2 linked regions of the Drosophila melanogaster genome follow. The protein of the gene in region 1 purifies or fractionates together with the protein of each later gene. This does not show direct contact. Each region holds a gene or a part of one and is shown on either strand. Other genes may lie near its edges.

What was found.
Region 2: the proteins of tyf (region 1) and Lsm12a purify together in Drosophila melanogaster (affinity purification with western blotting; one study listed by BioGRID). This does not show direct contact.

What each region holds. Positions count from the first base shown.
Region 1 is NC_004354.4:4,115,513-4,120,748, forward strand, and holds the start of tyf (twenty-four), read left to right. Parts: upstream 1-2,037; 5' UTR 2,038-2,383; intron 2,384-2,451; 5' UTR 2,452-2,767; intron 2,768-2,843; 5' UTR 2,844-2,905; coding exon 2,906-3,505; intron 3,506-4,201; exon of another isoform or gene 4,202-4,783; coding exon 4,784-4,912; exon of another isoform or gene 4,913-4,928; intron 4,929-4,989; coding exon 4,990-5,236. Other genes in the region: Tip60 (Tat interactive protein 60kDa), read right to left, coding at 1-1,032, 1,087-1,213, 1,281-1,340.
Region 2 is NC_004354.4:12,016,753-12,021,516, forward strand, and holds Lsm12a (LSM12 homolog a), read left to right. Parts: upstream 1-1,887; 5' UTR 1,888-2,428; coding exon 2,429-2,573; intron 2,574-2,875; coding exon 2,876-3,006; intron 3,007-3,072; coding exon 3,073-3,189; intron 3,190-3,254; coding exon 3,255-3,386; intron 3,387-3,782; coding exon 3,783-3,911; 3' UTR 3,912-3,967; downstream 3,968-4,764. Other genes in the region: regucalcin, read left to right, coding at 27-219; Chrac-16 (chromatin accessibility complex 16kD protein), read right to left, coding at 699-1,121; Tango4 (transport and golgi organization 4), read left to right, coding at 4,408-4,526, 4,586-4,764. UniProt on the Drosophila melanogaster protein: Component of the Atx2-tyf activator complex which functions in the circadian pacemaker neurons to activate the TYF-dependent translation of per and maintain 24 hour periodicity in circadian behaviors.

The sequences.
Region 1 (5,236 bases):
TGCGCTGATACGGAGGCATTGTGAGAATGCAGGCCACGTTGTAGTCCTCTGTGCTCTCCTTCTCCTTGGAGAAGTACCCTACTATGTGGAAGCCGCGCGAGTCGAACTCTGTCATTACGTAGAAGAGAAACGGATCGGTATCATAGTAGAGTGTCTTGTGGTCGAGAAAGAGTTTGGCAAGCAGGCACAAGTTCTGGGCATACACCTTGTTTTTGCGTCCATCGATTTCAAAGAAGGAAATTGTATGTTTGCGATAGATCTCGTTTCCCGGTGGATGCCTAAGATTGCACTTGGACAGGTGCCTCTCCAGGCACTTCCTGCTCTTCCTGTACTTCAGGCAGAACTCGCAGATGTAGATGCAGGGCATTTGACACAGCTCTTGCGGATAGGGTGAGAAATACCAGGGCTTAATGCGATGCCTGCCCAGCTCGATCATCTCCACGTTCTTCATGCGGGTGACCACGTCGTCCTGGTGCGTAACCATGCTGCCTGATTGCCTCGGCGTGGGCGTCTTGCCATCCTGCGATCCATCACCATCATCATTGGCCGCTCCGCTTATTAAACCGTCGCCGGTCACATGCACGGGCGTAGCCGTGGGTGTCTGCGGAGTTGTAGGATGCGGATGTGACTGCTGCTGTTGACTGGTCAGACTGTGGTGTCCATGGGCCGAGCCTCCGTGGTTTTTTCGCTTGCGATTGATGCGTTTCTGAAGGGCTGCGGCCAGATTGTTGCCATTCACAAGCTCTCCCCCACTGCTTGGTGTTCCGGGTGGAGCCACAGAGTTTGGAATGCCAGCAGGGGGAGGAACACTGCCTGATGCACCAGTAGGAGTCTGGGGGATGGCTGCCAGAGCCCCGGAACCAGGGTGTTGCGGTGATGTAGGCCGAGAAACGCTGCCCGCTAGGGAATGGTGGCGCTGTGGCGTGGTCACTCCAGTGCTGGTGCCTGTTTGTGAGCCGTCTCTCCGCGGAAATTGCACCTTTCGCGTGTACAGATCCTCCTCGTTGACCCACTCGTCCAAGCGCTTGTTGACTGCGGATTGGCAGTTATACTAAATATGCTCCCACTGGACGACTTGGTACTCACAGTCCACATAGTGCACGTAAAACTGCCGGCGCCCATCCAACTCCTTGATGCTCACAATCTCCGCTAGTGGCCAGTCGTCCGTTTTGTGCATCCTGACGGGTAAACGACATCCCTCGGTTAGGGCGGCCTGCAAGTTTGCGGTTAAAACCATTAGAATGAACACCCAAAACACGCCAAGGCGTAGCGGAACCCACCGTTGACTCGCATATGGAGGCCACATCGTCGTCGAACTCATATTTGTGGTTAATTTTCATTTGTTTATATTTTACGCGTTTTTTTTTTCCTAAAACAGCAGTATTGCCAGATAGCGAAACGTAAATAACTATCGACCAATCGATTACCGCCACAGTGAATCAGCGGTTTAAAAATGTTGATGACATGGGCAGTGCTGCGCAGCGTCGCGTCGCCTTTTCAAAGTGCTGCACAACACAACAACAATTCCAGAGAGTTTTTCAATTCGGGTTCGGTATTTTTTCTCATGTGCCTACTGTGCAATTAAACAATTTCGCCCGCTTACAAACAACTGTAACATATTAAGCACAACCGTTCGACTCAATTGCAGTTGCTAGAACTTGAGTGCGCAGTTATGTGCTCCCTTCTTTTCAGTTGCCAAACCAAAAAATAAAAACGCTGAGAAGGTCAGAGAAATGTACACAGGCGTAAATTTGTGTGCGTGTGTGTGGGTGCGTACATTCGTGTGCGCTCGTGTGAGTGCGCAGAAAGTTATACAGCTGTCATCGACTGGCGTATTTATCAATAAATGACTACTGTGATCCGCGGAAAACTTCAGTTACTGGGTAATTGTGACCACAACTGCTGGGCAACTGTGCCGCAGTGCCCCAATGCTGACGAGCTGAGCGGGAAATTGGTGAAAAAGCTGTGTCAAAATGACGTGTTTTGCGATAGTGTTGCCACTGACAACAGCCGCAGGGCTGCCAACTCGATGGGCATATCCCACTAATTAGTTGCAAAACGGGCAGGCAATCTCGTGTTGATTAGTAAGATGCAAGCCTAGAGCAAACGCCGATTTAGCAATCTCAACGGCTTGCCCCTACAAACAACAAACAGCATTTGTCAACCCTGGCACGCAGCGTAGTTAGCAACACTGCTTTTTAGCCAAAAAAAAAAAAAAATAAAAAAAATGAATATGGAAAGAGACCAGTGCTTTTTAAAGAAATTCGAAGTCAGTGGGCCGCAAGGGGTCGCCAAAGACTAAACAGACGCACCTGCTACCACCCACCGCCCCTTGTCGCTCGTCCGCATGACCAGAACAACAACAAATGCTGCAAAACACCCAGTCAGTGGTCCAATGTCTCAGTTTCAGTTTTAGTCTCAACTTCATCCCCATTTCCCAATCAATTGCAGATCCGTGCGCACACATTTCCGTATTCCGGTCTGTTTGCGAGCAATCCGCATCCCCGTGCCCAGGAACCTACGTAAATGCCGCGAGCAAAGGTTTGAGCCGGAGGAGAGCTACTGACGACAGGCCTGTCAAGTGCAGCAGGAGTCCAAACTGATGCGCAATAGGTGGGCTCCCCTGTGCCTCAAACCGTCTGGAAGTCGAGAGGAATCGTTAGGAATCGGCGGAACAGCCTGCAGAGCACTTGCAGTCGCGGTGGCAACCACACGGCGGCTGGGCAGCTGGGCTACCTAGAAACATCGCGAAGAGAAGAAACAGTTTGTAAGCAGTTAATGGGAATGCGAGATATACCCGTTTACTAAAACAAACATTCCCCTCTTCTCACACGCCCTAACAGATTCGAGGAATTCGAATGGCATTTGTTTTTCTCCTTCGTTGCATGCCACCAAACGAAAGAAGATGAACAATGAACAAACGCCGTCATCATCGGACACACCGGCGGATCGTGTGGCATCTGGTGGAGCAGCTGCCAAACTGCCAACGATCATACCGGACACGCCCATCGTCTCGATTGCCGCTGGCACGATGAGCGAGAGCACCACGACGACCACCGTCACCAAAACAACGCCGACGCCGTTCCCACAGGAGCAGCTTATGACCATGATGTCAGACCATGTGGCGAAGGCAGACGCGCAGCTTGACGAGGCCTGTAGGAACCAGGGGGCCAAAGACGAGGACAGCCAAGGAGCGGCACCAGTGGCTGCCAACCATGTAGCCACCAGCGGCAGTAGCAGCAGAGGCAATGACCCCAAGAAGTCATCATCCCCTAGTAATAGCCATAGCTCTGGTAACCACGCAGCCACGGCAGACGCTGCCAAAGGATCCGCAGCAGAAGCAGCAGCAGGAGATACGTCCTTCTCGCAGGTCTTTGCCATGCTAAAGGATTCGCCCAGCGCTGAACTGTCGCGACCAAACCGCAGGGTACTCCAGTACGGAGCCACTGCCAAGGGCAAGACCCAGGACGATCAGAATGTCGGCAAGCGACAGAAGAAGAAAAAGGTAAGTGCGCTCTGGCTGAGTTGCATCTTAAGGTGGAAATATAGTGCATGTTAAGCAGAAACCGAGTTAAGATATTGTTTTATTAAGAAAAAGGTATAGTTATGTTTGTTACTCGCAAAATTTCACATTTGTGTACGTTCTGGAGGCTCCAAAGCTCTATGGTGTTTGGACTCCATATCTTATGCATGGCCAGGCTTGAATAGAGCTCTACCAGGGCGACTAAGTTGAGAAACAACTAAGTAAACGTAAAATTTGAAACTAATTTCGATTTTGGGTGGAATTCCAGTATTGGACAGCAAGTTGTCCGATCTTTACGTTACCACCAAAACCAAGGTATACATAAATTAGATATAAATATTGTTTATTTGCACACTAAGCTATAAACTAAAATAGATTCTTACGCTTGCGGTCCATTAAAGTTGTCGAAAATGAAAATGCCGAAATCCCCTTAAAACATGACCTTTGGAAAAAACTTTAAGTGAGCCGATTACTCACTCACAAACACTGTTTTATCGAAAACCGAATTTTATTAAAAAAAAAATAAATATTGACAGTCAAATTGCATCCCCCTAATGAATACATACTCACATACATACATATATGTATGCGAATAGAAGCCAAAGTACCGTTTACGAAGTTAATGGCAAAGAATTCGAAAATGATGTAGAAATAGACCAAGCATACTGTTATCTCGTTCTGACTGACTGGGATTGTGGCTTTCGAAATAGTGCCGTTACATTTGGTCCCATCAAGTAATCGCCACACAGGAACTTCAATTTCTGATCGCAGTCGGTTTTTTGACCAGCGCCTTCGATAATTATTGAAATCAAGACCCCGAATCGGGCAGAAGGAACGGATAAAACCGCAAAGCGTTTGTTTATCTTATAAAAGCATTGGTGACATCCGCGGCATTAACCACGAAAACTTCTCGCCTATTCCCGTTATTATTTCAGTTATTGTTTTTTTTTTTTTTTTCTGTTTTCTTGTGTTCGTGTGCAACACCATATAGTACACATGTGTGTGCGTATGTAGAGCGTTTACTTACTGGAACCGTGTGCCATTTAATACTTCTATTGCTCTGCGGTCGGTACTTCATCAGTTCGCATAAGGAACTCAGAAGGGCATGTGTTTGGAATAAGTGGAGCTCCGAATTCTTTTGTTTTTTTTTTTTTAGGTTAAGTCGCAGCGATTATTGTTTTACACGCATATGTGTTCGTGTTGATGACCCGAAAAATTGCAAAACTAATTGCCAAATATTGTTCTTCGACGCTTTTGCAGACAAAATACGATACCTGGGAAGATAGCGATTTTAATGATCTGGACGACGCATCATTGAAGAAACTTCTCGAAGAGGCCTACTGGTATCGAAATCCTGGCGACAGGAAGAACAAGAGCGAGCGATTTCTGGTAAGTTTTGGCTCATGTATGTGCAACATATATATGTGTGTATAAATATTTCTGCTTCACGTCTTTTACGCCTGCAGCAAATGCTCAAAAAGGCTGAGTACGACGAAGAGATCTCTTATCGTGCCATCAAATCCTGCCTCACAATCAACCCATCCGCACTAACGTCCAGTGCAGCAACAGGCTCGAGCGGCGGGAGCAGCAGCAGTGCAGGGCACAACAGCAGCTATAATTCCACCAATCACCGGTCAACGGATCCCGGCCAGCGGCACAAGCAGGGCGGCTCCCTGCAGGATCTCGTTGAGGCGGCGCACCGCAGCGAACTGG
Region 2 (4,764 bases), 7.9 Mb from region 1:
GTGTTAAATGTCGTACTTCATTGCAGCACTGGCAAGATTCTGCTTGAGATCAAGTTCCCAACCAAACAGATTACCTCCGCCGCCTTCGGTGGCCCCAACTTGGACATCCTGTACGTGACCACTGCCGCCAAGTTCGATCAGCCCGCTCCAGCTGGCACCACCTACAAGGTGACCGGACTGAACGCCACCGGCTATCCCGGCGTCAACCTGAAGGTCTAGGAGCTGCAATCTCTATCTATCCTTAGCCGCAGTAAAATGTACCAATCGAATCCAAGTGCAATTATATGTTATGCTCTTTAACGTTTTAAATCGCGTCTATCAATGTTTTGCATGCTAGTTAGGTTATCCTTTTTTGCAGTTCTAGTTCAAGGTCAGCTTAAGGATCACATTCTCTCCTGGGAATATCCAGGATCATCATGTAAACTCACAAAGAGGTTGACTATGCTCTACTTTACTCTGATTTCAAACAACAATCTTATCAGCCGCAGACACACGGTAATCATCCGCGGATCTTATGGTCATTTGGAGGACGCAGTGCTCTTATGCTTCTTTATTAATCAGTGGTTCTATAAACAATTTTATACTTATCGTCTAGTCTAAAATTAAAGATAGCAAGGTGGCGTAAAAAATCAGTCGATGTTTTGGTGAATGGAGATCATCCACTCAATTTCGGTGTAGATAAACATCTGCATGACCGTCTATTCATCAGACTCCGATTCCGATTCGGACTCTTCTTCATCGTCATCATCGTCGTCGTCATCGTCGTCGTCGCTGCCGGCGGAGCGATTTAGCCGCAGCATCTCCTGGAACTGGTGTACACGGATCTTTTGCGGCACGATCTGCAGCAGAAACTCCAGATTCTTGTTCTTATTGACCACCTGGGAGAGATGCTCGTACTTGAGCGCTTCGCCCGGTCGCTGGCCGAATTCCTCCGTGTATGCCGCGCCCGCCAAATGGCGAACGAATAGCTCCGTGCACTTGGTCATCAGGAAGAGCACCTCGTTGGTGATCAAGCCCGTGTCCATGGAGCTCTTCATGATCGTTCGCACGCGGCTGAGGGGCAGAAAGGTTTCCGCGGTCGGTGGACGCTCCACGGGTGGTTGGCTCCTTGGTTCGCCCATTTGTTTACTTAATTCCCAAGCAAACTATGGCTTGGGAATTTTTTTGGTTTTAGAGCTGGGCTCACAAGTGGAGCTGTGAAACTATCGATGTTACAATCGAGGCATGAAATTCGTACCTTTCTGAGACACTATCGATTCTTTTTTTTTATTTGCTATCGATGGTTATGGTTTATGAAGACTTAAAATAAGTAACCGCAGGGCTTCCCTTAAAACGAACAATGCTGGCATACTTCTATTTTTGCAAGGAATTGGATGTGCACAATAATATATGTGTTACTTTCTCAGAATTAAGTTATAGCGCTAAATATATAAAAATTGAGAAACCCATTCGGATTTGCCTATACTTTCAGCTCTAGCTGGAGCGGGAATTTAACCAAATAACGTTGCGCCGATATGCTATCGGTAGCCACAACAAGTATTTAATAAAAGTTTTCCAAATATTTCAATTTATTAGTGGAAAAACCGCTCTAAGCAAATACCTTTAACTTAATCAAGAGATTAGGGGTAAAACGATTAGGATCTGCACGATTTATAAGGAAACATTCAATTGCAACAACATTTAGACAAGTCAATATTATCTACTTTTGTCTTTTCAGTATGCAATCAACTTTGGATTTTCACACTTATAGCTTAAAAATCTGTCTTCATTTTCGAACTCACATATAAATAAATATCAATAAATTATTATTGCACTTGATTTGTTTGCAGCAACGTTGCCAGACTTCCGTAATCGATGACTATCGAACCTATCGCTGCGCGGCATGTGCAACACTGCGTTTTCTGCTGCCCCCTTTTGGCTGTTGTTTCGTGTGTTGACCAATAAATTTTTCGCGTACTTTTCCAACTTTTCAATTACCGAACCGCAATTGCCGCCAAAATAGATAGCCGATAGCTAGTCGAGCGAGTAACCAGCGAGTTTTTGGCCAATTCACGCGACGATCAGGGGCAGTGGAAGCAGGAGCAGGATCTCGACCAGATCGCCAGGAAGCGACATTTCCATTAGAGCGGTTCAAGTGAAAGCGAGTGAGCTGCACGGCACGAGAGAACGAGACAGACAGACGGCGAGAGTGAGAGCGAGCGAGAGAGCTAGTTAAATCCTTTCGAGAATTCCAGGAATTCAAGCATCCAAAACAGCTGCTGCTGCCGCAAAATCATCAACATCATCACCATCGCTGTTTGTGAAACGTTGTTCAAGCAACGGCGTGCCAACAAACCAGTATCGACATTTAGATCTAGATTCGAATCCCCTATCCACATAGCTTGTGGGTGCACTTTTCCAGTTGGCCAATCTCAACCAGCAATTAAAAATGGCCGCTGCCGCTGCGAGCGCAGTGAATGCAGTGAACGACTGCTTCAGCATCGGATCCACAGTCGTCTGTACGACCTGTTTCAACGAGGAGGTGGAGGGCGAGGTGCTGGCCTTCGATCACAACACAAAGATGCTTATCCTGAGTATCCTTTTGCAACGAAATCCCCGAAATGCATACCCACACACACACACAACTTGCCCGCCGGGTGAAAGCGAGCACTTTCTCCGGCTGTCCACAGGGATCTCTTGAGCTGTCTGGACAAAAAGTCACACTGTCCTTTAGATTCGTATATAATTCTAATTCACACTCATCTTAACTGATAGCATTCACATATCACCTATCTCTTATCAAACCCATTGTTTACTGCTTGACAATTTGGTTCTCCGTACATCGTATATCTTTGCCCCCCGTTCCTGCTCTTCTCTTCCCTTTCCAACCGCATAGAATGCCGATCCAAGTCCACGGAGGAGCTGAGTGATATCTACGCGATGAACCTCTCGCTCTGCAGCAACGTGCAGGTGATCAAGGAGTGCAACGGCAACTTTGATGATCCGCAAAAGCTTAATCTGGAACAGGTAAGCATGCCAGCTCTGACCACTTACATAAATATATATATATATATATATATATTGCTTATACAGGTCAAAATGCGTCTGAGGAAAACAGTTGAGCGAAGACAGGACTACTTGAAGTCTAAGAATGCTGATGTCAGTCCAGAGGCGCAGGAACTCTATAGAGCGATAGCCAAACAATACGGGGTAATGACCTCTTGCACGATGCCCTATCATCATTAACCATTGCTATTTCTTTTACTATTTTGTAGTACAATGAAGTCTCCTGGCAAGGACTTAACATACAGATCCTAAATGAAGTCACCATCTCGCCGCCGTACCGAGTGGACAACGTGGTGTCCAGCTCGAACAACGAAACTTCATGCAACTACATCAAGCGCATCGTAAGCAATTGCCCAACCGCAGCACCTTCAAGCAAACTGTCATAAATCCGAAATGAAGTTCGTTAAATCTTTAATCAGACTAGCAAACCATTGTAACTTAAACCCAACGCAATGGCTCAAACAACGATTTAGTTGAATTAATGTTCAGAACATTCTAGATTCGCTAATGTTTATAGGTTATTCATATGTCAAGATAGTCCTAAATATTTCAAGTACTTCCCAATGTGGTTTAGGGTTTGATTAGAAACAGTATTAAGCATTTTATCATTCTGATATAAACATACAAATGCGCAAAGTTGCGGTAAAAAAAAATAATGCTTTATGACAGAATTGTGGCTGGTGTGGTCGGTGTTTTTAAGTTCATAGGTTAATCTTTACTCCATCTTTTATCTGCAGATCAAACAGTTCTTCAACACGAGGCCATCGCCCGTCCCGGAAAGCGGAGCTGCGGCCAGCACCTCGTCACCATCGGTGTCTCCCACGTCCTCATCTCTTGCATCTGGATCGCCGGTTCCCGCAAACTAATAATAAGCAGAAAAAAAACACAAACAAAACAAAACAAAAAAACAGAAATGTGCTTCAAAAAAGAACAACGTATTGGTTTTTTAATCTCTCGGGTGGGCGCATAAAGTTAACACTTTGATGGGTATTCGAAAAACGATTCTGAAAAAACTATCAGTTTTTGTGGCTTTTATGGTACTTTGAATTCAGGACCCACAATTTCTCATCTCGACTTAAGGTTGTGAAAAGTTAAATCATTTTTTTCTAATTATTAGATAATTCAATTACACAATTTCAATTAGATATTAGATATTTGCATTTAAATACATTTAAAATTTTAATAAAACTTCTTTTAAAAATGGATGCCCATGTAGCATTAACATTTGGCTATAAACAAGCTAGCAGACATCACTGTCCGATAACCGATAGCCCGATTGTTATGTATGGCTTGTGGTGGTCAGCTGCAAGAGCCGCGCCGCGTTTTTAACAAATTTAGCGAATAAGCAATAAATAACAGACAATGGCCATGGAAGACGTGCAGAAGCACAGCGTGCACACGCTGATATTCCGCTCCCTGAAGCGCACCCACGATCTGTTCGTCTCCAACCAGGGAAATCTGCCCGAAATCGACGAACGTTTGTGAGTATACCTGTAGTTTGCAACTTACGCATTGTTAATTTGTGTTTTTCGTTAAACAGAGAGAAGTTGCGACGTTCCATCAAGGCGAAGGATGGCTATGGCCTTGTGCTGGACAAGGTGGCGAAGATCGGCGAGGCCAGGAAGGCATCAGGAGCCCAAACGCCGGGCGACAAGACGCTGGCCATCACCGATGGCAGTGCAACGGATGCGGCCAGCGGTGCCGGCAGTCTGGTTAAGT